Linked DNA regions of Sus scrofa. The protein of the gene in region 1 interacts with the protein of each later gene in a biochemical or structural test. Links are inferred from orthologs where the notes say so. Each region holds a gene or a part of one and is shown in the gene's direction. Other genes may lie near its edges.

What was found.
Region 2: the proteins of UBC (region 1) and UBE2R2 form a complex in vitro, tested with the Homo sapiens proteins (3 studies listed by BioGRID, with this or other methods). The link is inferred for Sus scrofa from reciprocal best matches to the Homo sapiens genes UBC and UBE2R2.
Region 3: of the proteins of UBC (region 1) and OTUB2, one has a biochemical effect on the other in vitro, tested with the Homo sapiens proteins (5 studies listed by BioGRID, with this or other methods). The link is inferred for Sus scrofa from reciprocal best matches to the Homo sapiens genes UBC and OTUB2.
Region 4: the proteins of UBC (region 1) and USP16 form a complex in vitro, tested with the Homo sapiens proteins (8 studies listed by BioGRID, with this or other methods). The link is inferred for Sus scrofa from reciprocal best matches to the Homo sapiens genes UBC and USP16.
Region 5: the proteins of UBC (region 1) and MINDY1 form a complex in vitro, tested with the Homo sapiens proteins (5 studies listed by BioGRID, with this or other methods). The link is inferred for Sus scrofa from reciprocal best matches to the Homo sapiens genes UBC and MINDY1.
Region 6: the proteins of UBC (region 1) and TMEM160 form a complex in vitro, tested with the Homo sapiens proteins (2 studies listed by BioGRID). The link is inferred for Sus scrofa from reciprocal best matches to the Homo sapiens genes UBC and TMEM160.
Region 7: the proteins of UBC (region 1) and RNF138 form a complex in vitro, tested with the Homo sapiens proteins (3 studies listed by BioGRID). The link is inferred for Sus scrofa from reciprocal best matches to the Homo sapiens genes UBC and RNF138.

The regions. Positions count from the first base shown.
Region 1 is NC_010456.5:28,258,732-28,261,529, forward strand, and holds the end of UBC (polyubiquitin-C), read left to right. Parts: coding exon 1-1,971; 3' UTR 1,972-2,040; downstream 2,041-2,798.
Region 2 is NC_010452.4:33,011,490-33,016,243, reverse strand, and holds the start of UBE2R2 (ubiquitin-conjugating enzyme E2 R2), read left to right. Parts: upstream 1-1,770; 5' UTR 1,771-2,378; coding exon 2,379-2,555; intron 2,556-4,754. UniProt on the Homo sapiens protein: E2 ubiquitin-conjugating enzyme that accepts ubiquitin from an E1 ubiquitin-activating protein, and catalyzes its covalent attachment to other proteins by an E3 ubiquitin-protein ligase complex.
Region 3 is NC_010449.5:115,321,375-115,324,337, forward strand, and holds part of OTUB2 (ubiquitin thioesterase OTUB2), read left to right. Parts: intron 1-205; coding exon 206-290; intron 291-848; coding exon 849-1,043; intron 1,044-1,932; coding exon 1,933-2,139; 3' UTR 2,140-2,963. UniProt on the Homo sapiens protein: Hydrolase that can remove conjugated ubiquitin from proteins in vitro and may therefore play an important regulatory role at the level of protein turnover by preventing degradation.
Region 4 is NC_010455.5:192,375,187-192,379,792, forward strand, and holds the start of USP16 (ubiquitin carboxyl-terminal hydrolase 16), read left to right. Parts: upstream 1-1,695; 5' UTR 1,696-1,814; coding exon of another isoform or gene 1,815-1,833; intron 1,834-1,992; exon of another isoform or gene 1,993-4,606. UniProt on the Homo sapiens protein: Specifically deubiquitinates 'Lys-120' of histone H2A (H2AK119Ub), a specific tag for epigenetic transcriptional repression, thereby acting as a coactivator.
Region 5 is NC_010446.5:98,217,307-98,221,853, forward strand, and holds the start of MINDY1 (ubiquitin carboxyl-terminal hydrolase MINDY-1), read left to right. Parts: upstream 1-1,309; 5' UTR 1,310-2,036; intron 2,037-4,547. UniProt on the Homo sapiens protein: Hydrolase that can specifically remove 'Lys-48'-linked conjugated ubiquitin from proteins. Has exodeubiquitinase activity and has a preference for long polyubiquitin chains. May play a regulatory role at the level of protein turnover.
Region 6 is NC_010448.4:52,874,270-52,879,013, reverse strand, and holds TMEM160 (transmembrane protein 160), read left to right. Parts: upstream 1-1,752; 5' UTR 1,753-1,860; coding exon 1,861-2,068; intron 2,069-3,194; coding exon 3,195-3,287; intron 3,288-3,843; coding exon 3,844-4,109; 3' UTR 4,110-4,191; downstream 4,192-4,744. Other genes in the region: NPAS1 (neuronal PAS domain-containing protein 1), read right to left, coding at 4,388-4,744.
Region 7 is NC_010448.4:115,925,334-115,930,079, forward strand, and holds the start of RNF138 (E3 ubiquitin-protein ligase RNF138), read left to right. Parts: upstream 1-1,687; 5' UTR 1,688-1,711; intron 1,712-1,824; exon of another isoform or gene 1,825-1,848; intron 1,849-1,875; exon of another isoform or gene 1,876-2,001; intron 2,002-2,324; 5' UTR 2,325-2,397; coding exon 2,398-2,507; intron 2,508-4,746. UniProt on the Homo sapiens protein: E3 ubiquitin-protein ligase involved in DNA damage response by promoting DNA resection and homologous recombination.

The DNA.
Region 1 (2,798 bases):
ATCCAGGACAAGGAAGGCATCCCCCCAGACCAGCAGAGGCTGATCTTTGCCGGGAAGCAGCTGGAAGATGGGCGCACCCTGTCTGACTACAACATCCAGAAGGAGTCCACCCTGCACCTGGTCCTCCGCCTCAGAGGTGGGATGCAGATCTTCGTGAAGACCTTGACTGGTAAGACCATCACCCTGGAAGTGGAGCCCAGCGACACCATCGAGAATGTCAAGGCGAAGATCCAGGACAAGGAAGGCATCCCCCCAGACCAGCAGAGGCTGATCTTTGCCGGGAAGCAGCTGGAAGATGGGCGCACCCTGTCTGACTACAACATCCAGAAGGAGTCCACCCTGCACCTGGTCCTCCGCCTCAGAGGTGGGATGCAGATCTTTGTGAAGACCTTGACTGGTAAGACCATCACCCTGGAAGTGGAGCCCAGCGACACCATCGAGAACGTCAAGGCGAAGATCCAGGACAAGGAAGGCATCCCCCCAGACCAGCAGAGGCTGATCTTTGCCGGGAAGCAGCTGGAAGATGGGCGCACCCTGTCTGACTACAACATCCAGAAGGAGTCCACCCTGCACCTGGTCCTCCGCCTCAGAGGTGGGATGCAGATCTTCGTGAAGACCTTGACTGGTAAGACCATCACCCTGGAAGTGGAGCCCAGCGACACCATCGAGAACGTCAAGGCGAAGATCCAGGACAAGGAAGGCATCCCCCCAGACCAGCAGAGGCTGATCTTTGCCGGGAAGCAGCTGGAAGATGGGCGCACCCTGTCTGACTACAACATCCAGAAGGAGTCCACCCTGCACCTGGTCCTCCGCCTCAGAGGTGGGATGCAGATCTTCGTGAAGACCTTGACTGGTAAGACCATCACCCTGGAAGTGGAGCCCAGCGACACCATCGAGAACGTCAAGGCGAAGATCCAAGACAAGGAAGGCATCCCCCCAGACCAGCAGAGGCTGATCTTTGCCGGGAAGCAGCTGGAAGATGGGCGCACCCTGTCTGACTACAACATCCAGAAGGAGTCCACCCTGCACCTGGTCCTCCGCCTCAGAGGTGGGATGCAGATCTTCGTGAAGACCTTGACTGGTAAGACCATCACCCTGGAAGTGGAGCCCAGCGACACCATCGAGAACGTCAAGGCGAAGATCCAGGACAAGGAAGGCATCCCCCCAGACCAGCAGAGGCTGATCTTTGCCGGGAAGCAGCTGGAAGATGGGCGCACCCTGTCTGACTACAACATCCAGAAGGAGTCCACCCTGCACCTGGTCCTCCGCCTCAGAGGTGGGATGCAGATCTTCGTGAAGACCTTGACTGGTAAGACCATCACCCTGGAAGTGGAGCCCAGCGACACCATCGAGAACGTCAAGGCGAAGATCCAAGACAAGGAAGGCATCCCCCCAGACCAGCAGAGGCTGATCTTTGCCGGGAAGCAGCTGGAAGATGGGCGCACCCTGTCTGACTACAACATCCAGAAGGAGTCCACCCTGCACCTGGTCCTCCGCCTCAGAGGTGGGATGCAGATCTTCGTGAAGACCTTGACTGGTAAGACCATCACCCTGGAAGTGGAGCCCAGCGACACCATCGAGAATGTCAAGGCGAAGATCCAAGACAAGGAAGGCATCCCCCCAGACCAGCAGAGGCTGATCTTTGCCGGGAAGCAGCTGGAAGATGGGCGCACCCTGTCTGACTACAACATCCAGAAGGAGTCCACCCTGCACCTGGTCCTCCGCCTCAGAGGTGGGATGCAGATCTTCGTGAAGACCTTGACTGGTAAGACCATCACCCTGGAAGTGGAGCCCAGCGACACCATCGAGAATGTCAAGGCGAAGATCCAAGACAAGGAAGGCATCCCCCCAGACCAGCAGAGGCTGATCTTTGCCGGGAAGCAGCTGGAAGATGGGCGCACCCTGTCTGACTACAACATCCAGAAGGAGTCCACCCTGCACTTGGTCCTGCGCTTGAGGGGAGGTTTCTAAGTTCTCCCTTTTAAGCTTTCAACAAATTTCATTGCACTTTTCTTTCAATAAAGTTGTTGCATTCCAAAATAGTGTGATTTATTTTTAAGTGTCTAAGGAGGATTTTTTTTTTTAGGTCGGGTTGGGTATAAGAGATCAAGTGTTTTCAGTCTGCTACATAATCTGTGGTAAACAGGAGGTAAGAAATGTCAGTAAAAGATGGTTTTAATGTAGAACTGTAGTGGGTGAGTATAAATAAAACCCAGACTAGTAAGAGGTTGCAGAATTATTCATATGTACTCTTCTATGTAGATTTACTTGTAAATACTGGATGTAGTATCTGAGAAGGGGAAGTTTCTGCAGTACCAGCCAGGAGAAAGAATCAAAAAGAGGGTGGGAGTGATGGGAACCTATGGAAGAATCAGGGTTAGTATGTAAATCTATTTAAATTCACTTTGAACTGTCTGGAAAGTCATTTGACCATTTTTGAAAGAAAGGCTCTGGCATTTGTTATTAGAAAAGTCTCATTAGGCATTACATTAGAAAGTTTTAAGTATTAGTAGAGAAGATTATTGGCTCTTAACTGTTGCTGAAATTGTCAAGATTCTTTTATTATGACTGGATGAGGATTTGTTATAAATAAAGTGATGGCCAGTGAAGCAAATGGCTGTTGGTCTTACACAGTAGTGACTTTACCTAATGACTTGGTCAGTGTTTTTGTCATAACTAGAACCAAAGAGAAGCTAGTTTAATAGAAGGAATTAGCTCTCAGTGGCCTGCAATTAGAGGCTCATTAAAGAACTTGAAATAATGGGAGTTCCCGTCGTGGCGCAGTGGTTAACGAATCT
Region 2 (4,754 bases), on another chromosome or scaffold:
TCAATATCAACATTAAGTCATGTTAATATTATAGTCTCCTGATATGATGAAAATATCATTTTATCCCTGTGATCTTCTCCCCCAAACCCCAAAATTCTAGTTTAATCATGAGAAAAACATCAAAACTATAATTGAGAGCCATTCTACTACTTGACTAGTACTCTTCAATACTTTTATGGTCATCTAAAACAAGGAGAGTCTGAGAAACTGTCATAGTCAAGAGGAGCCTAAGGAAACACAAAAACTAAATATAGTATGGTGTCTAGGAGGAATCCTGAAACAGAAATGGGCATTAAATAAAAACTAAGGAAATGTGAGTAAAGACCTCAGTTAATAATAAAATTATCAATGCTGGTTCACTAATTGTAATAAGTACTACACTAATGTAAGATGTTAATAATAGGATAAATTGGTTGCCAGGTATATGGGAACTCTTTGTACTATCTTCTCCATTTTTCTATAAATCCAAAACTTTTTTTTAAGCCTACTAAAAAATTGAGATGTATCCAAACATAGCTGTGCCTTAAAATTTTTTTTTCTTTAAAGTCCTATTTATGGATAATTTACCATGTGCTAGTCATTGTGCTAAATTCTGTACATAGATGATCTTGTTTAATCACTACAATTGTTTATATGTTAGGTATAATTAACTCTCTTTTACGGAAGGAAATGAACAAGGAAGAGGTAATATAATGAAAATGGTGGAGCTAGGGTTGGAACCAAGGATCTTTCTGATCCCCAAATTCTAACTATGTGGAACTCACAGTATCCTGGCCTTTCTAGGAAGTATTCAGGCAGTATCATAGGACATGCCTTCCTAAGAGAAAGCGGTATTCTAAACCATGGGGACTGAAGACTGTCTTCATACCTCACTTCAGTTATGATTGTCTTGAAAGTTCTCCAGTTCTAGATTGGACTTTCAAGCTGAAAGGATCTGTAGGGAGGTCAAAGTTCAACCAAATACATCGTTTTACAAATGGGTAAACTGGGGGATAGCCAGAGCACTTGCCTCAAATCACACAGAAAAGGGCCAGAAACCCAGGTTCTGTCTGTATTATTATTTCTCTATTTCCTACAATTTCTTCATTGTAGTTAAGAAGGGAAGTAGAAACTGGCCTATCTGCCTTCTTCATTTCTCCAATAGGAAACTGCCCCCCAACTCCCTATGCGGGTGACACAGCTTTCTCAAGGATACAATGGCATGAGAACTGGATATGCAGAAGAGATGTCGGGACGCTTGTTCCCACCAATAAGACCCACATTATCAGCACATCCTTGTCAAGCATCTACTGAGTGCAGGGAGAGCAGACTGTGTCACTGGAAGGAAGCGGGAGGGAAGATGGATCAGGGCTCCTATAAGGAGCGGTGCAGAGGCCTGTGGATACACCGAGGGGAAGGAGAGCGAAAGCAGTTTTAGGATCAGAGGTCCCTTCCGGGGCGCGCCTTGACACCATGGCGTCAAGCCACACAACTGTCATTTTGGGGCCAGGGGCAATCTCCTGCGGCCACCCTCGGCCCGCACGAACGCTTGGCCCTTTAAGGGTGGGGGACACGCGCCAGCGTCACAAAGCGCCGCCACCACGCGGGGCAGCGGAGAGGAGGCGCCCAAGTGGGAGAAAGAGGAGGAGGAGGAGGAGGAGGAGGGTGAGGGTGAGGAGGGCGGGGGAGGGAGGGGCGCGCGCACGCGCGTCGGGCCACCCTCCGCCCCAGGCCGCCCTCCCTCCCGACGCGCGCCCCTCCTCCCTCTCTCTCTCTCTCCCTCCCTCCCTCCTTCTTCTCGACTCCGTCGCTCCCGCGGCGCGAGGCGCTCTCGCTCTTCTCCTCCTCCTCCTCCGCCGTCGCCCCTCCCCCCGCGCAGCCGCCGCCGCTGCCGCCGCCGCCGCCGCCGCCGCTGCGAGACCCCCGCGTGCCGCCCTCCTCCCGCCCTTCGGCTCCGCGCGCCCTTCGGCCCCGCGGCCCCCGAGGAGAACGAGAGGGCGAGCGAGCGCGGCGCTCCCGGGCCGGCTCGGCCGCGTACTCTCACCATCGCCGGCCCTCCGCCGCCTTCCTCCAATTCCACCTCCTCTCCCCCCCCCCCAAGTTGAGGCCCCCTCCGGGGGGGGGAGGCCCGGGACCAGGAGCGAATTTCTCCAACTCTCTCCACCCCTCCCCCACACGGCCTGAGTGCGAGGAGAAGGGCTCGGCCCGGCCCGCGTCGTGTGAAGAGGAACCGGGCTGGCCCACGGGCCGTCTGGGGCCTGGTCCGGGCCGCCGGGTGTGTGAAGACCGGGGCCCGTTGCGGCCCGGCCGAGGGCGAGCGCAGGGGAGGGGCCTGGTCCGGCCCGGCCGGTGCGTGAGGACTGGGGCCCCGGCCCGGCGCCGCCGCCGCCGCCGCCGCGATGGCCCAGCAGCAGATGACTAGTTCGCAGAAGGCCCTGATGCTTGAGCTGAAATCCCTGCAGGAGGAACCGGTGGAGGGCTTCCGGATCACCCTGGTGGATGAGTCCGACCTCTACAACTGGGAGGTTGCCATCTTCGGACCCCCTAACACCCTCTACGAAGGCGGCTACTTCAAGGTACCCCCAGCCCCTCTCCAACCTGGCTTCCTCGGGCGGAGGCCGCCGCTTTCCGCTCTTTTCCCGGCCAAGAGTGGCAGCGCGGGTGAGCGGAGGGGGCTCCTCACGTCGGCAGCCCCCTCCCCCATCCGTGGAGGCAGGAAGGCCTCGCTGGCTCTCCAAGTGCCTTTTCTTTGTCATGGGGGCGGGGGCGGGGGCGGGAGGCCAGACTGCACCGGGAAATAGGAAAGTCTCTGTGGCTAGGGTAGTGGCTACCCGAGGAGGAGGAGGAGGAGAGCGGTCTTTGTTTTGTTTCCCCAGCTGAGGGTGTGCGGGAAGAAAGGTGGTCTGTCTTTCCCCTCTCGTCCTCCCATCGGGACCATCTCTGCGCCGGCTGGAACTACCCCAGAGGGCAGAGTGACCTGCACTTATGGGATTGGACCTTTCTTTTGGGGTGGGGGTGGGGGTGGGGGAAGGGTATCGGTCTGTCATTCCAGAGGCTGCCTGGTGCCCTGACATTTTGGGGATTTGCTGGGCTTCTTGAATAGTGGTGGTTCCAACTTCGCATTCCAGTGGGCGGTCATGAAGAATAGGACCCTAGCGCTGGTAAACAAGGTTGCCTGCTTTTTCTAGCCATTACCTACTTTAGAGAACTTGAATCTAGCCCCTTTTCTGTCCTCATTTTCTATTTACTTCAGCCGTGTGTCAAAATGCCCTTTGTCCTCACCCTGCTACCAACTCTACTGACTCCCTCCCTCCCCCGGCCCCACATGTAGAAACACCCACAGAGGGCGGAACAGGTGATGTAGGGGGATTGGTTCCCACCTTAGTGAGACAAAATTGAAACCTTTTGCTCAGGTGGTTAACTGGCAAATGGAGGGTGATTTCACGGATGAAAAGTATCACCTGCGGTGGGATGGTGTCACAGAGTAGGACGACTCCTTAGCGACCGTAGACATTGTTTCTATTTTTTCACGATTTTAGAGCAGTGGTTATTATTCCTGAATCCAGTATTTTTTTTTTTTTTATTCCACGGTAGATAACTTAGAGGTATTGGGGATTTTTAATTTTTGTTTTTACCATTTTTGAAGAGGCAAATCACAGATTGAAAGTTGAATATTTTAAATGGTAGAGGTACAGAGACAGAAGAAATGAGTGCTTAGGAATTCGTTTAATTTTTTATTTCTAAAATTAAGTCAAATAGGACTATGAGTCAGTCTTAGTTTGTTTTGAAGGGAGGGGCTATCTTGGCAAAAGTTTTAAATGAGTATCTTAGTCATGTAGTATGTGTATTTTTAAGGACTACCTAATTTAGTTTCTACTCTTTTTAAAAGTAGAAGCCTTACTTTCAGGCTTGAAATTGGGTCTATTTTGTAGAAAATGTGAAGAATTGATAGGGGAATGTTTAATATTCATGTTTGTGAATAACCAGATACCTGGTTAAAGGCACGTATTTAGTATTTAGAATATTGTGTATACCCACTACATGCTTAATGTTTTGTGGTCACCATATACTGTACTTTTCAGATGCAGATACTTGCAATATGTACTGACTGGCCTTAGAGAAATGAAGTTTAATTTCCAAAAAGTATCGTTGTTTGGGACAATCCATAGTCAAGGTAAAAGGATACTAGCTAGAATGATCTTACTCCAGTGCAATTTGTTAAAAACAACAACAAACTGTATGTGAAGGAAACACACTGGGTTACAAATTGTAATGTTTTTGCTTAAGTAATTGGGAAAGGAATGTGGTGAACCCTTTCAGTTTGGAATAGGTAGTATGGAAGGAAGATTCGGTGTAGCATACACTGATTTAAATGCTTTTTAATTTCAGTCCTATTTAAAAGGAATGGTTTAATCTCCAGTTTGTTTTTTTTTTTTTCCTTTGTGACATGTAAAAAAAAAGTATGGAAATTCATAAACAGGTTTTGCGTTTTAGTCTCATGTGAGAATTTTGTTTTTTTCTGCTTTTTCCCCTTATTATATGGCTTTTTGTACCAAAGTTCTTTGTTGGAAAAAGGCAAATTTATGGTTCTGTGCAGTTAACACTAGTAATAGGTTTAAAACCATTGTTTTTTATTTCACTGCTTTTGTCCTAAAACAAGGCTTTTAGTGTGTTCCACTACAGCTGCAGTTAAAAGTTGGCACAGACCTTTCTCTACTACTGTTCTGCCTTATCAAATGGTGGTCCTTGAACGTTTAATAGAATCTATTTCAAGT
Region 3 (2,963 bases), on another chromosome or scaffold:
TGCGCTACCCACCACCTGTGATTGTACAGAGGGGTCCATGGGGAAGTGCTTTGAAAGGCAGAAAAGTCCTTCACCTGTTTGTGACATGCACCCTCTCAGGTGTGTGGGTGGGGGCTGGGGGGCTGAGAGTGGATGACAGTCACTGGTCACGCAGGTCGCAGCAGTCCCCCCACCTCATTCCCGTGAGCATGTCTTCCCCTTTCAGGTTTAAAGAGCGTGTCCTGCAGACCCCAAACGACCTTCTGGCTGCTGGCTTTGAGGAGCACAAGTTCCAGAACTTCTTTAATGCTGTGAGTTAAGCTGGACACAATGGCTGAGGGACCAGGGCCTTCCTCACTGGCAGAGTAGACAGGAGCTGGCACTGGCTGGAGTCCTCTCATGGCCCATGGCCTGTGGTTGTGCCTCTCTTGTTCCTCCCAGCTGGGAAGGACTGGAGGTTCTTCCTGCACGTGGGGACATCAAGGGGACAGGGGTCCCAGGGCCCTGGCCTCCCTCTGGGAAGAGGCACCTGCTTTGGGGAAGTAGCTCTCGGGCTGGAAGCTCCTCCCGGCCTCACTCCGCCCACCCCCTCTCCACCCCACTCCCCTGGCCCCGCTGTGAAGCGAGGAGCCGGAGGACTCACCTCTCATCTGTACAGAAGCGCCAGCCTCGGCCTTGAGGGAGCCTCCAACGGCATCCTCAGATGGGCCTCCGGGTAAGGGACTCATTACAAAGTGTCCCTAACCCTGTTGCTTGGCTCTGGTGGGATCTCTGATTGATTTGGGTGCTTTAACCTGAGGATCTAAAGCCAGAAATGCAGGGAGGGAGGGGCGGGGCCTGTCCCCGGGCTGATGGTGGCCGGGGTGCAGTTTTACAGCGTGGTGGAGCTGGTGGAGAAGGACGGCTCCGTGTCCAGCCTGCTGAAGGTGTTCAACGACCAGAGCTCCTCGGACCGAATCGTGCAGTTCCTGCGCCTGCTCACCTCAGCCTTCATCAGGAACCGCGCGGACTTCTTCCGACACTTCATCGACGAGGAGATGGACATCAGAGACTTCTGCACTCACGTAGGTCCTGGGCCCAGCCCTCTCTCCTTAGGAGACTTCAGCACCAGCACTCCCTAACCAGGGGACTTGGGTGTCAAGCCTACACCGCCATGCAGAGAGCACTAGATTAGCAAGCCCAAAAGATCCTCCCGGAGTGGGGCTCTGGGCAAGTCACTTTCCCTCTCTGGGTGTCAAGCTTCCCCATCTGAGAAGTAAGGGTTTTGGACTGAACTGTTCACAAAACTGCAGAGAAGCAACCGCAGAGTCACATTTGCCCTAAGACGTGTTTTGTTTTATGATGTACGGTATTTACCTGAAAGAGTGGCCAACACTTAAACACTGGGCCATTTTTGTATGAATGTTTGGATTTCTCTGGAAACATCGATCTAGCTCCCCAGGCCTTTTCTTGTATGACCACAGTCAGCAGGATCTAAGTGGCAAGTGCCCTAGCTCCTGCGACACGCCAGCCAGCTCGCAGCCGTCTGTCTCTCCACTGACTCACTCGCTAGCTCTCTGTAGGCACGGAAGCTTGAGATCCCCTTGTGACAGAGTCCCTCCCTGTGCCAGGATTCTCTGATTATGTGCGTTAGGAAGCCAGAGCTGAAACTCTTGCTCCTCTTTCCAGATTCCTCAGCGTGTCTCTTTTCACACAGAACTAGGGGTTGAGAATCAAAAAAAGATCAAGATTCGAGCCTTGCAATTCTGGCTATTTGTTACCTCCTCACTGAGCCTGGGTCTCCTCCTCTGAAAAATGCAGGTGTCAACATCTGCCTCATGGGTGGTTGTGGATTTTATTTCCCAGCGCAGAGGTTTTGACCTAGGACCATAAAAGCCAGGGTTGGACTTTTCACTTGCCCTCTGCCAGGCTTCCCTCCTCAACTGGGTTTTTCTTTCGTTTTGGCCTCTGCAGGAAGTGGAGCCCATGGCCATGGAGTGTGACCACATCCAGATCACAGCCCTGTCCCAGGCACTGAACATTGCCTTGCAGGTGGAGTATGTGGACGAAATGGACACGGCCCTGAACCACCACGTGTTCCCCGAGGCCGCCATCCCTTCCGTTTACCTGCTCTATAAAACATCCCACTACAACATCCTTTACGCAGCCGATAAACGTTGATTAATTTTGGGCCATGCAGTGGAGCCTGTCACCTAATGGGACTGCATTCTGAATGGAACATCATGGCTTTGCAATTTTTTAAGCGATTTAGACTGTAGTTAAAAATGTGCAGCCTTTGGGTCAACATCACTGGGAATAAGGCCTACTCCCTATGGACTGTTGGTAACTTGGTGATATTTTTAATATTTATTTTCAAGGAGGAACAAATATTTTCTAACCCTGGGGTAGGAAGCCAGAACTCCTGGCTCTACTCTCAGTCCCCTGAGACCTTGCGTAGGACACCTCCCCTCTCTGGGCCCTTTTGAGGAGGTTCCTGCCACTGTTGACATCCTGTTGGATAAAAATGGGGTCCTCTGGTTTCTTTTCACGAGGGGCAGCGCCTCCCTCTTCTGGGAGGAAAAGCTCAAGGTCAGCTGTCTTAAGTGACGTAACCAGTTCTATAAAAAAAGTCAACTCAAGCGGCTCTTGGACTGGACTTCGGTGGATGGAGCGCTGAAGCTAACTTGAGTACGAGGGCTTCGGTGTACTCCCAGCCGTTCACAATGGAGTGTTTTCTTCCCCCTCACTTGAGAAATAAGAGGCTTTTATGCCAGAGTCTAGAAAGGAGCCTGTAGCCGTCTGCATGAAGCCTCTACCTCCCTCAAGGCCAGGGCCGTCCCACCTGGACAGAGGCTTGAGAAAGACTAGGGTCTGGGACCAAGAAGCTGCCTCGTCAACCCCAGCACATCCTGGATGGAGACTTGAGACACTCGGGCAGGTGGAGACATGGACCGGCACCGGCAGCCGCAGGCCCCAGCTGAGCAGAGCAGACGTCTTTTGAGGCT
Region 4 (4,606 bases), on another chromosome or scaffold:
ACTGCAAGAGAGCAGGTTCAATTCCCAGCTCTGTGCAGTGGATTAAAGGATCCCGTATAGCCACAACTGCAGCAGAGGTTGCAACTGCAGCTTGGATTCAGTCCCTGGCCTGAGAATTTCCATATGTGGTGGGTGTGACCATAAAAAGAAAAAAAAAGTCCCATCTCTCAAAAAGTTTACATTTACTTGTTTCTGTGTATTTATGAGGGTAGGGGGATGGGGTGGGGAAGATAAATATAGAGGTAAATGTGAAATAAAAATACCAGATAGTGATTTGCTAGGCTGAAAAGTAAAATAAGGTGATGTGATTGGGTGGCTATGTTAACTAGGTTGCTCTTTCAATTTCTTTGTGAGAAAGTGACTTTTAAGGTATGAACAAAATTAGGGTAAGATCAAAGGGGAACAGCATTCTAGGAAAGGGAAGCAGGTGGTACAATGGCTCCAAATCTGCTTTTTGTTTTGTTTTTTCTTTTTATAGCTAAACTTGTGACATATGGAAGTTCTCAGGCTAGGGGTCAAAGTGGAGCTGCAGCTGCCAGCCTACGCCCCAGCTACACCAGATCCAAGCTACATCTGCAACCCACGTCTCAGCTTGCAGCAATGGCAGATCCTTAACCCACTGAGCGAGGCCAGGGATGGAACCTGCATCCTTATGGATATGAGTAGGGTTGGTGACCCACTAAGCCACAATGGGAACTTCTCATACCATGTTCTTTTATTTATTTTATTGAAAAAAATTTTTTTGGCTGCACCCATGGCATATGGAAATTCCTGGTCCAGAAATTGAATCCTTGCTGTAGTGGTAACGTGAGCCACAGCAGTGACAACATGGTATCCTTAACCCACTGAGCCACACAGGAACTCCCATATCATTTTCTATTATTGTGAATTATCTGTTTATAACCGTGGCCTACTTTTCTACTGGAATCTGCATCCTTTTTCCCCTAAAGATTATTGTGTCTTCTGCATAAGACAAGGCCTAAGTTAATTTAAGTTGCTCTGCAGAAGGCTTGGCACTTAGCTATTTCGAACAAATAAACAGTAATTATTTATAAATTTTACCCTCCGTCAGCAAAGTTACTTCAAGACCATTTATTTAAATACTCAACTTTAGAAACTGATTGGAAAGAACTATGGAAACTGCGTGAAATTTAAATGCCGCCCCCCCATCACATCTTCAGATGTGATATGTTTGAGTAAGGTAACAATCCATGAGACTCCAAACTTCCGGCCACATACCCATACTTTTAGAATTTTTTTTTTTTTTTTGTCTTTTTGCTATTTCTTTGGGCAGCTCCCGCGGCATATGGAGGTTCCCAGGCTAGGGGTTGAATCGGAGCTGTAGCCACCGGCCTACGCCAGAGTCACAGCAACGCAGGATCTGAGCCGCGTCTGCAACCTACACCACAGCTCACGGCAACGCCGGATCGTTAACCCACAGAGCAAGGGCAGGGGCCGAACCCGCAACCTCATGGTTCCTAGTCGGATTCATTAACCACTGCGCCACGACGGGAACTCCTAGAATTATTTAGATAACCTCAGAGACTGACTGCCGAGCGGGGAAAACTGATTGACAGTTAGACTTCCGGGTGAGGAGGCGTCCAGACTTCCGGGCGTGAGCCTCGCGCAGGCGCTGATTAAGCAGCGTCAGTGCCGCTGGATCCTGGGGCCAAAGCCACTTCCCATGATGCTGCGTACCGGAAGTTGTTGCTTTCTAGGGGTCACGCTGGCTTCGGCTCTGTCGCTCTCAATTCGTCACCAGGAGGAAGACGCAGCTGGTTGCCCAGCCCAAAGGCCCATTAGGGGATGCAGTTATGGGCTCTGTCGCCGTGGGTGAGTTCTGCCCCATAACCTCGCAGTCACCATTCGCCGGGAGCCTGAATTTCCTGCCCCGACTTCCTTCTCTTCTCGAAGGCCCTTCTTCCATAATCACGTTACCTGGCCTTGGCCCGGTACCGTGTTCTCATTGGCCTCATGTCCTGTCACTTCCAGGAGCTGGCCAATGAGTTGTCGGTGCTGGAGCCCTTCTCGACCCCGTGGACCCCGAGGTTCCCCCGTGGGTATGGAGCAGTTGGAAGGGAAGGGGAGGTGTGGCGGGTGCCGCGAGGCTAGGGGCATCCTACGGGTTGGGGCTGGGTTTGCTGCCCCGACCGTGTGGTGTTTAGTGGAAGGCAAGATCTGTCACCTAACTGATCCACTGCTCCCAGGGTAGGACAAATTATGCAAACTTGAAAGCCATGTTTTAGTCCTGCTGGCAAAAATTTACAAACGCTTGCATTTTTGTAATGGAACGGAGCAAAAGCTTGGGAAGACTAGGAGGGTGGAGAGGGAAGGGAACTGGATTAATGTGAAAGTCGCCAAGACCAGCTTTGATTAAATTTTGTGTGGAGTCCTGCACAGAGTAATTTGGCTAAGAAGGTAATGCTCATATAAAGACTCACCTGAAAACTTTAATAGATTTATTGATATTCAGGCTTATGGAACTGACAGTCCTCTCTTTTCACAACTCATTAGATGCCCTTTGTAGTTGTCAAAACTTTCCTGGAGCTCTTTACACATCATTGAAGCGAACCCCCTACTGTCTTCTGCCTGCAGCAATTACAGTTCGTCTTTCAAGTTTTCCTTTGGCGTCTGTGGTACTGCTGTCTTCAAAGCAGATTTATTAGTGCTGTCTTCTGTACTGCAGATTTCTTCATTCTTTACCTTTTTCTTTTTCATCGGAACTTGTGTGCTTCATTCTTACGTACCTACTTTTGCACCTTATAATCATCCTTTATGCCTCCAGGTACTATTCTCTTTTTCTATTTCTATGTAAGAAGTATTTCTTGACCAAATATATACTAACACTATGCTAGATGCTGTAGTCAATTCAGAAGTAACGCCTAATACCATTTCTTTCTCCTAGAATTTGTTTTTTTTTTCTCCTAGAACTTTAGATTCCAGATAGAGAAATAACACACGTTCAAGTTAAAGATTAAAGAAGCAGCTCACTTTTGTATCTGATTAAGGTAAAGGATGCATAGTGCACACTATACATGCCTGGGAAGTTCAGTTGAGAGGTTCTTTAGAATGGCTTACCTAAGGCTCCACTGAAATGGAAATCTTGGAAGACTGGGAAAATTTGGATGGACAGAGAGAACTTCTAGCTAGGGATTAAAGGCAGAGAGGTGGGGCCAAGGTGTTTTGTAGTGGAGAATATCAAAAAGACTGGCTTGATTCTGTCTTGGAACCAAAAGATCTGCATTTCATTTCCATCTCTACCATCCTATGAGCTTTCTTTCTTTTTTTTTTTTTTTAATTTATTTTTCCACTTATAGCATGGGGGCGAAGTTACACTTACATGTATACATTTTTTTTCCACCCTTTGTTCTGTTGCAATGTAAGTATCTAGACATAGTTCTCAATGCTACTCAGCAGGATCTCATTGTAAATCCATTCCAAGTTGTATCGGATTACCCCAAGCTCCCCATCCCTCCCACTCCCTCCCTCTCCCCCAGGCGGCCACAAGTCAGTTCTTCCCTGTGAGCTTTCATTATTTTGTTTTGAGTTTCCTTCTTTAGTGAAGTGCTCCGTTTACAGGATTTTGTGAAAATTAAAGGAGATAATGTTTATGAAAAGACTCTGAAGATCAGAAGCACTGTATAATTAAACTTTAGTGGTTCTTTGTTGAGAAGTAATGAGAGTCAGGGTTAGCAGAACATTGGGGACAATTTGTAAGGGACCATGAGTGCATAGCACAGGAGGGTGTGCTGAAAATCTGTACTTTGAATAAAGTATGATGAAAATGGAGGTGAAAACTTGAGTGCTATTTTTTCCTCTTAAAATCTACAACTCTAGATAAGATAAATCATGTTAAATTTTATTTTAGGGAGAGACAAGTACATGAAATATACTCTCATTTTATATATACCTAAAATATAAAAATATAGCAAAAGATTGTTGCTGTGGCTGTGGTGTAGGCTGGTGCTACAGCTCCAGTTCGACCCCTAGTTCTGTATGCAGTGGGTGCAGCCCTAAAAAAAAAAAAAAAAAAAAAGACAAAAAAAATATAGCACAAATACTGTTCTTTTGCTAGTGGTTAATTCATTTACTTTGTAAACTTGAAACCTTGTTTCATTTTATATTATCTTTGAAAAGGTTAACAATTATTTGATTTGGCATTCATTTTTCATGCACACCTTTGGAATTACCTTTAATTACACTAACCCATTAATAGCTAAAGGAGGGATACATCTAAGACTCTAAGCCAGGGAAGGATGACAGCTAAGTATCAGAATTAATTGGGAAGTATTTTTGAGAACACATGTCCCAGTTCCTACTTTCCTTTTATGCCATTAGAATTTTGAAAAGCATTCTAGGTAAAATTATTATAGTCATTTAAGCAATTTTTATGCTGTTTTTCTAATGTATTTAAAATGTAACTTTTCAAAATCTCTAATATTTAAAGTTTGCTAGGAGTTCCCTTTGTGGCTCAGCAGTAACAAACCTGACTAGTATCCATGAGGATGCAGGTTCAATCCCTGGCCCTACGCAGTGGGTACAGGATCTGGTGTTGCCGTGAGCTGCAGTGTAGGTTGAAGATGCGGCTCAGATGTGGCGTTGCTGT
Region 5 (4,547 bases), on another chromosome or scaffold:
ATAATCTTTGGCCTCTCTTCTTAATTCCTACAGCCTCTTGCCAACTCCAGTTGCTGCCATTACAACTCTATAGCCTCTTTTTTTCTATAGCGTCAGCAAATTCTCTTTCTTTTTCCGGACTGTTGTAACTTGGGTTTCTGCTCACCTGCCTCCCTAATTGTTCCAAATGCCCCTGCAGCCTTCAGAGTTGTTTGAAGTTTCATCCTGGAGCAGCCATGTAAGTAGAGCTTGGGGGAACCTTTCAGAATGTAGAGTTGGGTTCCAACCACATTTAACTACCACCTTCCAGCCCCAGGGTAGTGCAGAATACTGCAGAAAATGTGCTTTTTTTTTTTTTTTTTTGTCTTTTTGCCTTTTCTAGGGCCGCTTCCTGTGGCATATGGAAGTTCCCAGGCTAGGGGTCTAATCGGAGCTGTAGTCGCCGGCCTACGCCAGAGCCACAGCAACATGGGATCTGAGCCTTGTCTGTGACCTACACCACAGCTTAACCCACTGATCAAGGCCAGGGATCGAACCCGCAACCTCATGATTCCTAGTCGGATTCGTTAACCACTGTGCCACAATGGGAACTCCGTGATAAATGTACTCTTTTCATCAAATGTTCCCTCATTTATTAATGAATCCCTTTGTTTCCTACCACCAACCTCACACCAGTTTTTCCTGCTCCCCAAGCTCGGAATTGAGAGGAGGTGATAGATGAGAAGCTGAGGCCTGTGGTGGGAACAAGGACCGGAGCAGAGGGATATTGAAGCTCCTGCTTGCTCAGCTAGTTTTCTCCCTGCTTCACTCTTCCCAGAGCCTGGGGCTTCTTACACACCCTCTCTGCACTACCAGGGGCATAGCCCAACTGGTTTCTAGACTAAAAAAGTGAGCAAATACGTGTATGTGTTACTGGGTCACCTTGCTGTGCAGCAGAAAATTGACAGAACACTGTAAATCAGCTATAATGGAAAAAATAAAAATCATTATTAACTATAAAAAAAAAAAGTGAGGGAGTTTCTGTTGCGGTGCGGCGGAAACGAATCCGACTAGGGACCATGAGGTTGCGGGTTCGATCCCTGGCCTTGCTCCGTGGGTTAAGGATCCTGGCATTGCCGTAGGCTGTGGTGTAGGTGGCAGATGCAGCTCAGATCCTTTGTTGCTGATCTGATTAGATCCCAGCCTGGGAACTTCCATGTGCCGCAGGTGCGGCCCTAAAAAACAAAAAACAAACAAAAAAGAGATATAGTAAGGATTTTGAAAGGATAAGGATTTTTCACTTTAAATGAGTAATTATGCTAATATCACGCTGTCTGGCCTGCCTCTGTGGATCCAGAGCAAAGGACTTTTGTACCTAGAGAGAAAGCCCAGATCCAACAAGCTGCTGCTGTCCGGCCCTGCTCCTCCTCCCCACTCAGCAAGGGCCCTTGCTTTTCCCTCTTCTCACCAGAGAGGCACAAGCGCTCCGTCCCTTCCAGCGGCAGGCGGAGGGAGGAGAAAGGGTCTGTTGTTTTTCTCTCCTGTTTCTCTCTCTCTCACTGCTGATCACCAAGCTGCTGACCAGGTCAGAAAGCCCTAATGGAAATCCTCCAGTGCTGGCCTGGCTCCTCCTCCTCCCAGAAGCTTGTCCTTGACTGATTTTTCTTTGTCCCGACGGGAAAGAGAGAGAGAGAGAGAGAGAAAGAAGAAAAAAGAAAACCCACAAACTTCCTTTGAAAACCAGCTCGCTAGACTGGGCCTGGAGCGCACGCCCTAGACTCGGCGACTCAGAAATCCTGGAGACGCTCTGAGCGACCTGGGAGTACCTGGGCTGCACTCCTGCCGGTCTCCACCCTCTTCCAGTGCCCCCGGCCGGCCGTGGGCGTGAGTCCGGAAGTGGCCACCATCCGGCCAAGACTGCTGCGCACAAACCCGTGTAAACCTGTGCGAGCTCTGGCTTTGACAGCTGGAAGGCAGCTGGGAGTGTGGTGGCGCCCCTCACTGCACCCACCTGCCCCATCGTATTGCCAGAGCTGCACCCTCCTTCTGTGTCCTGGAACAGCACCCACTTCTTTAAGGTAAAAACTTTGAACCATTTCCTTCACCTCTTCTCCTAATCCCCAGTCCTCTGTTTCCTCTTTAGCCCTGGGGAGGTGACACTGACTGTTCTTCCACGTTGGGTCTCTACACGTTTAGATTTTGAGAGGCGTTCAGGCAGAAGGAATATGTAAAAGACGCTGCTTGGGTCCCTGTATTTCTTCCTTTTAATGACACCTTCCCCCTCTCCCTTGCTAGCACGTAGACAAGGCACCGTCGTTGACTTAACTCTGAGGAGAACTTCTAAACCATTAGTTCTGTGACGATTTGCATCAGAGCGAGAAAGAGATTAGAGGGGGACAGTAAAGCACTTGAGGGGAGAGTAAAGTTCCTAGGGAGTGCGGGTGGGGGGCGTCTTGTGGAAGCTGGGTACCAGTTGTATATGCTTCTTCCAACTTTTGGCTACTTACTGCCGCTGGCTAGGGGTGGGTCTGGGCTGCTTTACCTCTCACTCACCACCAGAGGATAATTCCAGCTGGAGAAAATGTGTTGGATTTAAGAGGAAAAAGAAAGAGAAATCCTGATTTGTTTGAGTACCTGTGCTCCCTCATTCTCTCCTGCTCTGAAGGAGCACCAGGCAGGTACCTTGAAGAGGAGAAATTCTCCATCACGCTTCCTGCCTCTATTCTGAAGACTTAGCCCATCCAACTTTGCCCAGTTTCTCTGAGACCCAGCTTCCTCCGGTGTCCAGCTCCTGGGTTCTTTTGGTTTACCTGTCTGGCCAGCTAGCTGCCCAGCCCCCACTTAATTATTGATCTTTTCTTTTCTTCCCTGTTTTTCTCTAAGCTTTAAAAAAAGTGTTCCCAGGCTCTTGTTTCTGCTTCCCAGGCTCATCCTAAGTGTCATTTGGGAAAGGAGGAAAAAGAAGACAGAGAGAGAAAAAAAAAAGTGTCAGGCCTGCAGGCAATTTTTGCTATACTCTGATTCTTCTAAATTAACAACATGTAAATGAGATGCAGATAGCATAAATTATATTTGAATCAGGAGGATGATCAATTTGGGTGACTAGGCTTATTTTGGTGACTTTTATATTCTTCAGCTTCACTTCCCAGGCTTTACCCTAGCCCTAAATTCCTGCCAGATTGCAAGGGATTGCAAGAGGAAGCATAGTCTCAGGTTAGGAGGAAGCAAGAGAAAAGATTTCTAGCAAGTTTAATTTCTCCCTTTTTCTCACCCAATCAAGGGGGAAAGGGGAGCAAGGAAGTTGCAGGGAGATATTTTCCAGGGGGCAGGGCTTTGTGGCCTTTTATCATTTACTATCCATGGTGTTAATGAAATGTCTATGCTTAGTGCTGGTAAAGAGCAGGTTAAACAGGTCCAAGGGCTGACATCTAAAATGACCCAGATGGAGTTCCCGTCGTGGCGCAGTGGTTAACGAATCCGACTAGGAACCATGAGGTTGCGGGTTCGGTCCCTGCCCTTGCTCAGTGGGTTACCGATCCGGCGGCATTGCCGTGAGCTGTGGTGTAGGTTGCAGACGCGACTCAGATCCTGCGTTGCTGTGGCTCTGGCGTAGGCCGGTGGCTACAGCTCCAATTGGACCCCTAGCCTGGGAACCTCCATATGCCGCGGGAGCGGCCCAAGAAATAGCGAAAAAGACAAAAAATAAAAAAAATAAAAAAAATAAAAAATAAAAAAATAAAATGACCCAGATGATTGAATTCCTGTCGTGGCACAGTGGAAACGAATCCAACTAGGAACCATGAGGTTGCAGGTTCGATCCCTGCCTTGCTCAGTGGGTTAATCATCTGGAGTTGCTGTGAGATGTTGTGTAGGTCACAGACGCGGCTCGGATCCCGCATTGCTGTGAGCTGTTGTATAGGCTGGCAGCTGTAGCTCTGATTCAACCCCTAGCCTGGGAACTTCCATATGCTGTGGGTGTGGCCCTAAAAAGAAAAACAAACAAACAAAAAAACAAAAAACAAGATCTAGATGGGAATAGACAGAAAGAACATACACACAGGTAGATGAGTGCAGAGGGAGTATATATGTATATATATATATATATATTTTTTTTTTTTTAACCTAAATCAGTAATCAGCATTTTCATATTCTATGTAGTGGGCGAACTACTCGTGAGTCTAGCAGTTTAGGGGGCAAACAAGTTGCTGTCCCAACTCCAGCTGTCAAGGGAGACATACTGGAAGAATTGTGGGGTGTTTTTCATGCCTCTAATCTGAAGTTACTTATCAGAACCAATCTCTGATTCAAGTCCCCTTGGCCTACACTTCCCCTCTCCAGCCTACAGGAAGCCCCTCCCAGAATCTTTTTTGTTGTGGCTTGAGATTGTGTAAACTTCAGTGGAGGTCCTTTGAGGAGAAAGACTTCTTTCTCACCAGCGTTTCTCCTTTACGGGGCATGATACTAACTCTTCATTCTTCACCCCCAGCACTATATGACTGCTTATCTTTTTGCCTTTGGGATGAGGCAGAGAGAAGGTGGCCCTAAAGATAACAAGCCTGGGTGTTCAGGTTGTTCCCTGAACAGCTGGG
Region 6 (4,744 bases), on another chromosome or scaffold:
TCATCTGCTACTTACACCACAGCTCACTGCAACACTGGATCCTTTAAACCACTGAGTAAGGCCAGGGATCCAACTTGTGTCCTCATGGATACTAGGCAAGTTTGTTACCTGTGAGCCACAAAGGAAACTCCTACAATTATTTATTGCAGGGAAAATCGCAAACAATCTAGGGCTTGGGATCAATTGTGGTACCTTCTTATGAAGCATCAGTGTGAACCGTTGAAACAGGCTGCGCGGAACAGGGGGTAGGGATTGGCTTGGGAAATGGGATGTGTATTACTTATCATTAGATGATTTTGTAACTTTTTTTTTACTTTGTAACTTTTGCATCTTGTACTGTGTTCAAAAAAATATTCATACATATATATATATATACACATACATATATATGTATATATAGTCTTTTTAGGGCCACACCCGTGGCATATGGAGGTTCCCAGGCTAGGGGTCCAATCAGAGCTGCAGCTGCTGGCCTACACCACAGCCACAGTAATGCAGGATCCTAGCCACATCTGTGACCCTACACCACGGCTCACAGCAATGCCAGATCCTTAACCCATTGAGTGAGTCCAGGGATCGAACCCACGTCCTCATAGATACTAGTTGGGTTCATTAACTTATGAGCCACAAGGGGAACTCTTAAATAATATTAAAAAAAAAAATTATGCTGGAGTTCCCGTCGTGACGCAGTGGTTAATGAATCTGACTAGGAACCATGAGGTTCCGTGTTCATCCCTGGCCTCTCTCAGTGGGTTAAGGCATTGCTGTGAGCTCTGATGTGGGTCACAGACGCGACTCAGATCTGGCGTTGCTGTGGCTCTGGCGTAGGCAACAGCTTCGATTAGACCCCTAGCCTGGGAACCTGCATATGCCACGGGTACCGCCCTAGCAAAGACAAAATAATAATAAATAATAGATAAAAATATGCTGGAGTTCCTATCGTAGCTCTTTGGAAATGAATCAGACTAGGAACCATGAGGTTGCAGGTTCGAGCCCTGGCTTCGCTCAGTGGGTTAAGGATCCGGCATTGCCGTGAGCTCTGGTGTAGTTCCCAGACGCGGCTGGGATCCCGCGTGGCTGTGGCTGTAGCTGTGACGTGGGCCGGCGGCTGCAGCTCCCATTCCATCCCTAGCCTGGGAACGTCCATATGCCCCGGGTGCGGCCCTAAAAAGAAAAAAAAAATATGCCGTTGCAAAGTATTCAGTGCTACAGGTCAATGTTCATGATTGATTAGTGATTGACAAATTAATTTTTTTCATATAACAAACGTTTTACATCTCTTTCGATAAAAGACAGAATCCCCTGGTGTGGCTCAGTGGGTTGAGGCTCCTGCGTTCTCATTGCTGTGGCCCGGGTTGGATCCCTGGGAAGTTGTGCATGCCCAGGGGCTTGGCAAAAAAAAAAAAAAAAAAAAAAAAAAAATATTAGCAGTAACCACTCATTGGTGGGATTAATGCTGAGTTTTACTTTCTCTTCTGGGCTCTTCGAGATTTTGCAAAGGTTCTACATTAAGCATCACAAGTATTGTTTGGTTTTGGTTTCTTGGCCCCAAGAATTAAAGTTACTTAGCAAAGACTACAAGTACCGGCAGACATCGCGCCTCCGACTTCAGAAGACCCGCCTTCCCCAAGCACAATGAACGCTGGGATTTGAAGTCCAGTTCCAACAACAAGGTGGGCCGCGCAGTACCGGCACAATGACAGAGGCGGGATCAGCGCCATTTTGACCAATGGGCAGTGCGTACCGGGCCTGAGTGGCACGCGTATAATCAATAGATAGGCCGCTAAGCTCGAGTGACGTGAGCTTCAGCCTACCGGCAGCCCATGGGCGGTGCGGTGCGCGGCGGCCGTAGTGCGAACCATGGGAGGTGGCTGGTGGTGGGCTCGGGCTGCCCGCCTAGCCCGACTCCGCTTCCGGGGGGCGCTGCTGCCGCCTCCGCGGCCCCGGAGCGGGGGCGCCCGGGGGTCCTTTGCCCCTGGCCACGGCCCCCGCTCTGGGGCTTCGCCGCCCCCGGTGTCCGAGCTGGATCGCGCAGATGCCTGGCTCCTTCGGAAGGCTCATGAGACAGGTCTGGGGATGGGGTCGGCCTCGGATGGGAGTAGGGGTTCCGAATAGCTGAGCTGCCCGCGCGCGCTAGCGGATGGTGGTGGGACCCTGCTGGAAACCTGGCCCAGGGAGAGGCTCAGGAGGAGGAACGGCTTCCGTGTAAGAGCAGGGAAGCGCTGGCTGCAAGAGCGCAGACTGTCCGCATAGAAGGGCTTGCAGATGCGACCGCGGGTCTGGTTAATGAGGTTCAGTAGGGACTGGAGAGCTTTGTCGGGCCAGGACAGGCAGCCTTATCAAACGGCCCTGTCCGGATGGCGGAGGCTTTCAAAGAGGGCTAGGGGCGAGGGAGTTGCCTACAAGAGGGGGGCCTCGTTGGAGAGGCCAGTTCGGATTAAAGAGGCGACCACTCTGCATAAGGCGGGAGCGTGGATCCCCACAGAAGAGAGGGCAAGTTCTGGGTTGGAAGAGGGAACACCCAATAGAAGAGCAGCTCTGAGCTGATTGGAGGGCATGGTGCTCCTGGCTGCAGGGGGTGGGGCCTCATTTGGCAGGGTGCTGGGTGGGGGTGGAGGGGTCCGGGTTGGAGAGGATGGGCTTTAGAGATCGTGGACAGGTGTAGCGGTGGGGATGGCTGTAACCCGACTAGCCCCGATTAGTGCCACACCAGGGACTTGAGTGGATGTGAATTACCTCCAGGAAGAGCACACCTGATAGCAGCGTGGATTTAGTAAACTGAGCGGGGAGGCTGGAGAGAGGCCTGGGGGAGCGGGGAGGGGTAACGGTTGGTGTGAAGGTTTGAGAAGGAAGTGAGGGGGTGGCCATGGGGATGTGAGGGAGACATTGACCAAGCTGACCTCTTGGAATCTTCCCGTCCCCAGATTTAGGTTCTGCAGTTTTGGTCCTAGATCCCCCTCCAGATTCTGCAGACTGTCTTGAATCTTTGATGTTGCCAAGTTGGGTGGGAGAGGGGCTCAGTGAGGGTTTTGGGGGTTCTTAGATTGGGGGCTGTCAGGAAGAGGTGGGGATTTGGGGTCGGGTCGGTGGGATGAAGAGGAGCCCCTCTGTCTGGTTGGTCAGGGAGGGGCAGGGGCAGGGTGTGGGCCCTTGCTGATTTCCTCCCATTCCCCCCCCCCCCCCCCGCCCCGCAGCCTTCCTTTCCTGGTTCCGCAATGGCCTCCTGGCATCGGGCATCGGGGTCATCTCTTTCATGCAGAGTGATATGGGGCGTGAAGCTGCTTATGGTGAGTACATACCCCTGCTCTCCCACCAGAGAGTGTAGACGCCTCCCCCCCCCACCTCAGCTAGGGAATGCAGACCCCACTCCATGGGGGTAGACTCACCCCCCCCAACTGTGGCTAGAACCCCTCATTCTTCCCCCACCAAAAGTGGCCTCGGCCTCACTGGTGAGCATCCACCTTCTACCCACCCCATCCCTGCCTCATTGGCACTGGACCCACCTGAGGGGGTGGCTCAGGGCAGGGCTGTGGATGCTCACCCTTTTCCACCTGACTTGTGGACAAAAATGCAGGTCTGGCCCTCAGGCAGCCCCACTCTCGGCCTGGTCCTGCCCCTTATCTTTGCTCAGACCAGCGCCCCCACCCTCTGATCCTGGACCCCCCTCCAAGTCCTAGACACACCCTCTGCTTCCTTCTCACATCCGGACCTTGGCTCTGTACACTCCCTGCCCCCTCCCCTGCCCTCCAGGGCACCCATACCCTTTCTAAGGCCACCTCCATCCCCTGACCCTTCTAAGTCCCCAGGATCCGCTCCCTGACCCCACCCTGCTCTGTCCCACAGGCTTCTTCCTGCTGGGCGGCCTGTGCGTGGTGTGGGGCGGTGCCTCCTACGTGGTGGGCCTGGCGGCGCTGCGGGGACCCATGCAGCTGTCCCTGGGGGGCGCGGCCGCGGGAGTGGGCGCCGTGCTGGCCGCCGGCCTGCTGTGGGCTTGTGCCGTCGGCCTCTACATGGGCCAGCTCGAGCTGGACGTGGAACTCGTGCCCGAGGATGACGGAACAGCCGCGGCCGAAGGGCCCGATGAGGCGGGACGGCCGCCACCGGAGTGAGCTGCAAGGCTGCGGGGGACGGCCGGGGCGCTGGACAGCCCGGGCCCGAGGACCGGGACATTAAAACCTGACCCTTCGCTGACTGCGGCTTCGGCGTGGTGGTTGCTGCGGCGGGGATGCTGAGCGGGGAGGGGCGGGGGCCCGTGCAGAGAAGTCGGGAAGAGAGAGAGGAGCCGCGGGGGCACCGCCGGCGTTTAATTCACAGGGGCGGAGAGCCTGGCCCCCTTGGGGTCCTCACCTGCCCGCAGGTCCGGCTGTGCAGGCGCCTTTTCCAGGCTTCAGTCCCCCTTGCGCTGCACCCTGGTGCCCAGCGGCCCGGGATAGGGCAGGCCCAGGGCGGGGTAGAAGGCCTCGGGGAGCGCGGGGCCGGGACCCAGCCTCTGCAGGTGCGGGTACACGAGGCCCAGCTCGGCCGGGCCGTAGCGGATGGTGCCCGGGGCGCACAGGCCCCGCATGACGGGCGGCAGGAAGCCCGTGTGCAGGAGGGAAGGTGGGGGGTCTCCAGGAGGCGTCAGGCTCCAGGGCCCCACCAGGTCCTGCTTCAGGGCCCCTGCCCGGATGACAGACGTGAACTCGGGCCTGGGAGGGGCCAGGTGGCCCGAGGGCTCCTCATCCCCACTGTCCTCCCGGTCTTC
Region 7 (4,746 bases), on another chromosome or scaffold:
TCTGAAGCTAAAGTTAGCCTTCCTGCTTTGCTTCTGATTTTGCTAGGGAGAAAAGGGGGAAAAATACAAAATATTTTAGTTTGGTTTTGGAGGGAACTTGCTATTTATTGGACAAATAATTCAGTATTATCCTAGGAAATGTCTTTTTAAGGTGGACATCAGGATCCATTTCCCACTTTCCTGTAGAGCAGAAATTGACAGAACATTGTAAGTCGACTATAACAAAAACAAAGTCCAATTCCTCCATAAGGTTTCTCTAAGTCCATACAAATCCAATCGCTCTTCTTCCTTTCCTCATTATAGTCACTGTCAATGAAAAATGTAGTATTTTACTAAATACGATTTTTTTGTCCTTTCGTTTTTATAGACATCCAAGAGTCTAAATGAATTCAGAGTAAAGTTCATGACACCTGCATAATATCTAACATAATGCCAAGGACAACGTAGACAATAAAGGACAGAATTGAATTAACTAGGCGTTTCAATGGCTTCTACTGATGATTCATTTAGTCCTCAGTGGAAAGTTTTAACAAATTATGGTAATGAAAACTTTTTCTTTTCAGAAGAGATATGAGGATGATTTATGATGTTCCATTTCTTTAGCTCCGTTCATAAGGTTGTGACCTCATCTTACAGACTTATCATCTGTATGTATCTGGAAATTAAGGACCCATTAAGAAATTTAAATTAGCGAATAACGGTGAAATGCCTAGATCCATACTTCTACTTAATTTTTCTTCAAAGCTGTAAACAAAAACCAAAAAACAAAGATGTTAGTGGAAAACCGCATCTACGACTGTAACCTGTCAGGCACACTGTATTAAAGGCAAAAGTTGAAACCCTCTCAAAGGGGGCTTATTTTAAAATTTTTCCTTTCTAGGAGTTCCCTCATGGCGTAGTGGGTTAACGAATCCGACTAGGAACCATGAGGTTGTGGGTTCGATCCCTGGCCTTGATCAGTGGGTTAAGGATCTAGCTTTGCCGAGGTGTGGTGTAGATTGCAGACGCTGCTCGGATCCCGCGTTGCTGTGACTCTGGTGTAGGCCGGTGGCAACAGCTCCGATTAGACCCCTAGCCTGGGAACCTCCATATGCGCCGGGAGAGGCCCTAAAAAAGGCAAAAAGATTTTTTAAAAAATTCTCCTTTCTAAAGGATTAAAATCCTATAACGGATTTTAAATAACCCAACCTGACATGATCAAAACATTCTGGCAACAGAAAACAGTAAGGACCAGATCTTTAACATAAGATATTTTTTCAGGGAAAAATCCTGAAAAACCCAATATATTTGATAGGCGTTGTGAGAAATAGGATCCCTCCAGTGGGGAGGCTGGGGGTACAGGTGAGCATCCTGCTGTTTATGTCGCAAGCTGCCTCAGGGGGCACGCGGCGGTTGCTATGGAGGCCGCCCCCCCCCCAGTCCCCGCGCTCGCTGCTCCCTTCTGTTCGGTGACCTGCTGGGCAGGCTGCAGGCAGCGCGATGCCGCGGGAGAGTTGCTGGAGGGGGCGGTGGGACCCCGGTACACCATGAGCCTCGGGCCCGGCCCCGTGTCGGGCCGATGAGCGCTGCGCACTCCCCCGCCACTCCCCTCCCGGCCTCGGCTGCGAAAAAGGCAGCGGCTGGACAAAAAGCCCGAGGACGCCGCCGGGTTTCCCTACCAACACTCGCTAGGGAACCTGCATCACCAGCCGCCAGACTGCGGGGCTCTTAAGTACGGACTCTTAAGTGAGCGTCCACTCAATCTGAACGCAGGGGCGGGAGGGGAGGGGGCGGGGCGGGGCCGGGCCGGGCGGGGGAGGGGACGGGGGCTGGCTAGGACGGGGGCGGGGCGGGGCGCCGCTGAAAAGGGTAGGTAACCTGGTGAGGAGCAGGCGGCTGCGCGGGCGGGGGGCGGGGGGCTCGGGGTGGGGGTGGGGAAAAGGAACTGAGAAGTCAGGGAAAGGGAGGCCGGACGCGCAGAAGAGGGCTGAGGGCGGAGTCGCAGCTACGGCGTGGAGACAGGTAACGGAGTGGCCTGAGGGGGGCGGGGGAATGGCCGCGGGCTGGGGACGCCCTTCCCGGGCGAGAGGGGCGGCTCCTGGCTCCGGTGGAAGCAGCCGTGAGGCCGGCCAATCGCCGGCCTCTCATCTGCGGCCTCTTACCCGGCGCGCGTTCCCGGCCTGCCCCTGAGCCAGGAGCGGCCCTGGGCTCGACCCTCGCCTGGCGCGTGCGGCCATAGGGTCTCGGCGTTCGGCCCCGCCCTGTCTCGACCCCGCCTCGGCCCGCCCCCTTCCTGACTCGAGACGCTTCCTGACGCGATTCCCCGCCCCCTCTGGGTCGCGCAGGGAGTCGGGCCCCGGGCCGCCACCGCCACCTCGGCCGCTGCCGCCGCCATCGCTTTCATCCCCATCCCCCGCCATGGCCGAGGAGCTCTCTGCGGCCACGTCCTACACCGAAGATGATTTCTACTGCCCTGTCTGTCAGGAGGTGCTCAAAACGCCCGTGCGGACCGCGGCCTGTCAGCACGTGTGAGTAGACGGCCCCTCCCCCGCGCCGAACCGGGTGGTCGTTTAGGCCCCGCATCCAGCCCCGGACCCTGGGCTGCGGCCTGGCGGGACGCGAGCCCGCAGGCGGCCTCCCGGAGTGCCGCTAGGCGCTGAGGGCCCGTTCCCAGCCAGTCGGAGCCCCGGGCCGCCCTCCCTCTGAACTCGCGGCCCGGTGCCTGCGCCCGGCCCCTCCGCCCGAGCTCGCGGGCCCCAGGGCTCCTCCGTCCTCGCGCCCCCGGGGCAGTGCCCAGGCCGGTCCCCGTGGCGTTTTCGGGCCCCGAGGCCCCTCTCCTCTCCGGCAGCCCCGGGAAGGGGTGCAGGGAACAGGGAGCCTTTTTGTTTCCTAGCAACCTGAGTGAAGGCTGGGGTGTCGAGTGTCAAAACCCGCTGGATGTGCCCGCACAGCCCGCTTCGCGACCGGCCCCGCTTTCAAGTTTCACTTTTCAAGAACCTTGGCCCATTCTTTTCTGATCCATGAGGTCTCATCTAACTTAACCTCTCGGCCCTGCTTCACAGACCACCCTTGAATGTGTTTCAATGCGTTCACCATTCAGTACTAGTTGGAATGAGCTAGAATGGGTTTGCCTCCTTCATTTGTTAGAACTCACAGGATTTCCGGGTATTGGAGTGATAGTTTTCCTTTGTTTTACTCCTCTGCTTATTACTTGGTTACTACAAAGGTGAAGACGGCTGTTGTGAGGAATGAACTGAAATTAATGCAGTAACCCCAGAGGTGATGGGAACACAAAGGGATTCAGTAAGGTGGCCTGGTGCTGTTCGATTTGGCACATTTATAGAACTTTGATAATTTTATAGACTACTAGGATGTCAGTAAGGGTTGGAAAGAGCCCATCTTGTAAAGGTATATAGCACTTCTGACAAACCTGGCTGCTGATTGGAGTCCCTGGGGAACTTTTTAAGTAAACATACCAATTCCCAGGCTCCATTCCAAACTTATAAAAGAATTTCTGGCGGGTGAGGCCTGGAAATCTCTGTCTGAAAATATACACTCAGGCTTGAAAGTTCTGTGTGTATTCATATAGCTGAAAAGAATCGAACAAGTTTCTAAAATTGGTTTCTCCTTTGACTTTATGAGGGGAGCGGTAGATTATCTAACTTTGTAAAGAATGGATTTCTTTTGTTTTTTCGTTTTTGTTTTTTAGGGTCACACCTGCAGCATATGCAAGTTCCCAGGCTAGGGGTCAAATCAGAGCTGCACCTGCAGGCCTAGCCACAGCCACAGCCATGTGGAATCCCAGCCGCGTCTGCCATCTGCTCCATAGCTCACGGCAACGCCAGATCCTTAACTCACTGAGTGAAGCCAGGAATTGAACCTGCATCGTCATAGATAGTAGTCAGGTTTGTTACCAGCTGAGCCACAATAGCAACTCCAAGAATGGGTTGTTGAATTTGAGGTTCTTAAGCATGGATTTCCATACAGTTGTTTCTTTTTTTTTTTTTCTGCTTTTTAGGGCCAAACCCACAGCATATGGAGGTTCCCAGGCAAGGGGTCCAATCGGAGCTACAGCTACATGCCTAGGCCACAGCCACAGCCACATCAGATCTGAGCCGTATCTGCAGTCTGCACCACAGCTCACGGCAATGTCAGATCCTTAACCCACTGAGCGAGGCCAGGGATCGAACCCAAAACCTCTTGGTTCCTAGTTGGACTTGTTTCTGCTGCGCCATGATGGGAATTCCAAGAGTATGTGACTTTTCATGATAGAAGTTATTACCAGTTACATTTTTGCTGCTTGTGAAAGACAAATTACAATTTGGAATTTATATATCATTTGGTGCAACAAATGCAGACTGTTAGAAAAATATTTTGAGATATTTATATATACGTATATTTATATACACACATTTTTTGGTCTTTAATCTGTCAGTGTTCATTATTATAACTTGATGGTTTTTCTGTGCTTGGGCTGTCAGTGGGTTAAAGAAAGGAAGAGAAGGAGGGCAAAGTGAGGAAGTAGGTCTTTTCTGGACAGCATCATTTCAATGATCCTTTGGGTCATTGACCTCATAGAACTCATTGTAATCTCCAGTTCCCCTCAAAATTCCATGCTCTTTGCTCTAGTTCATTTCCCTTTTGAGACATTTTATTAAATGAGATTGTGGCTTAGCTTGACCTCAAGGCTATGGAGAAGACAGTGGAGATGATTATTGAGGGCTTTTCTCAAGTCCATCTCCTTGGGCTATGATATGGAAGTGAAAC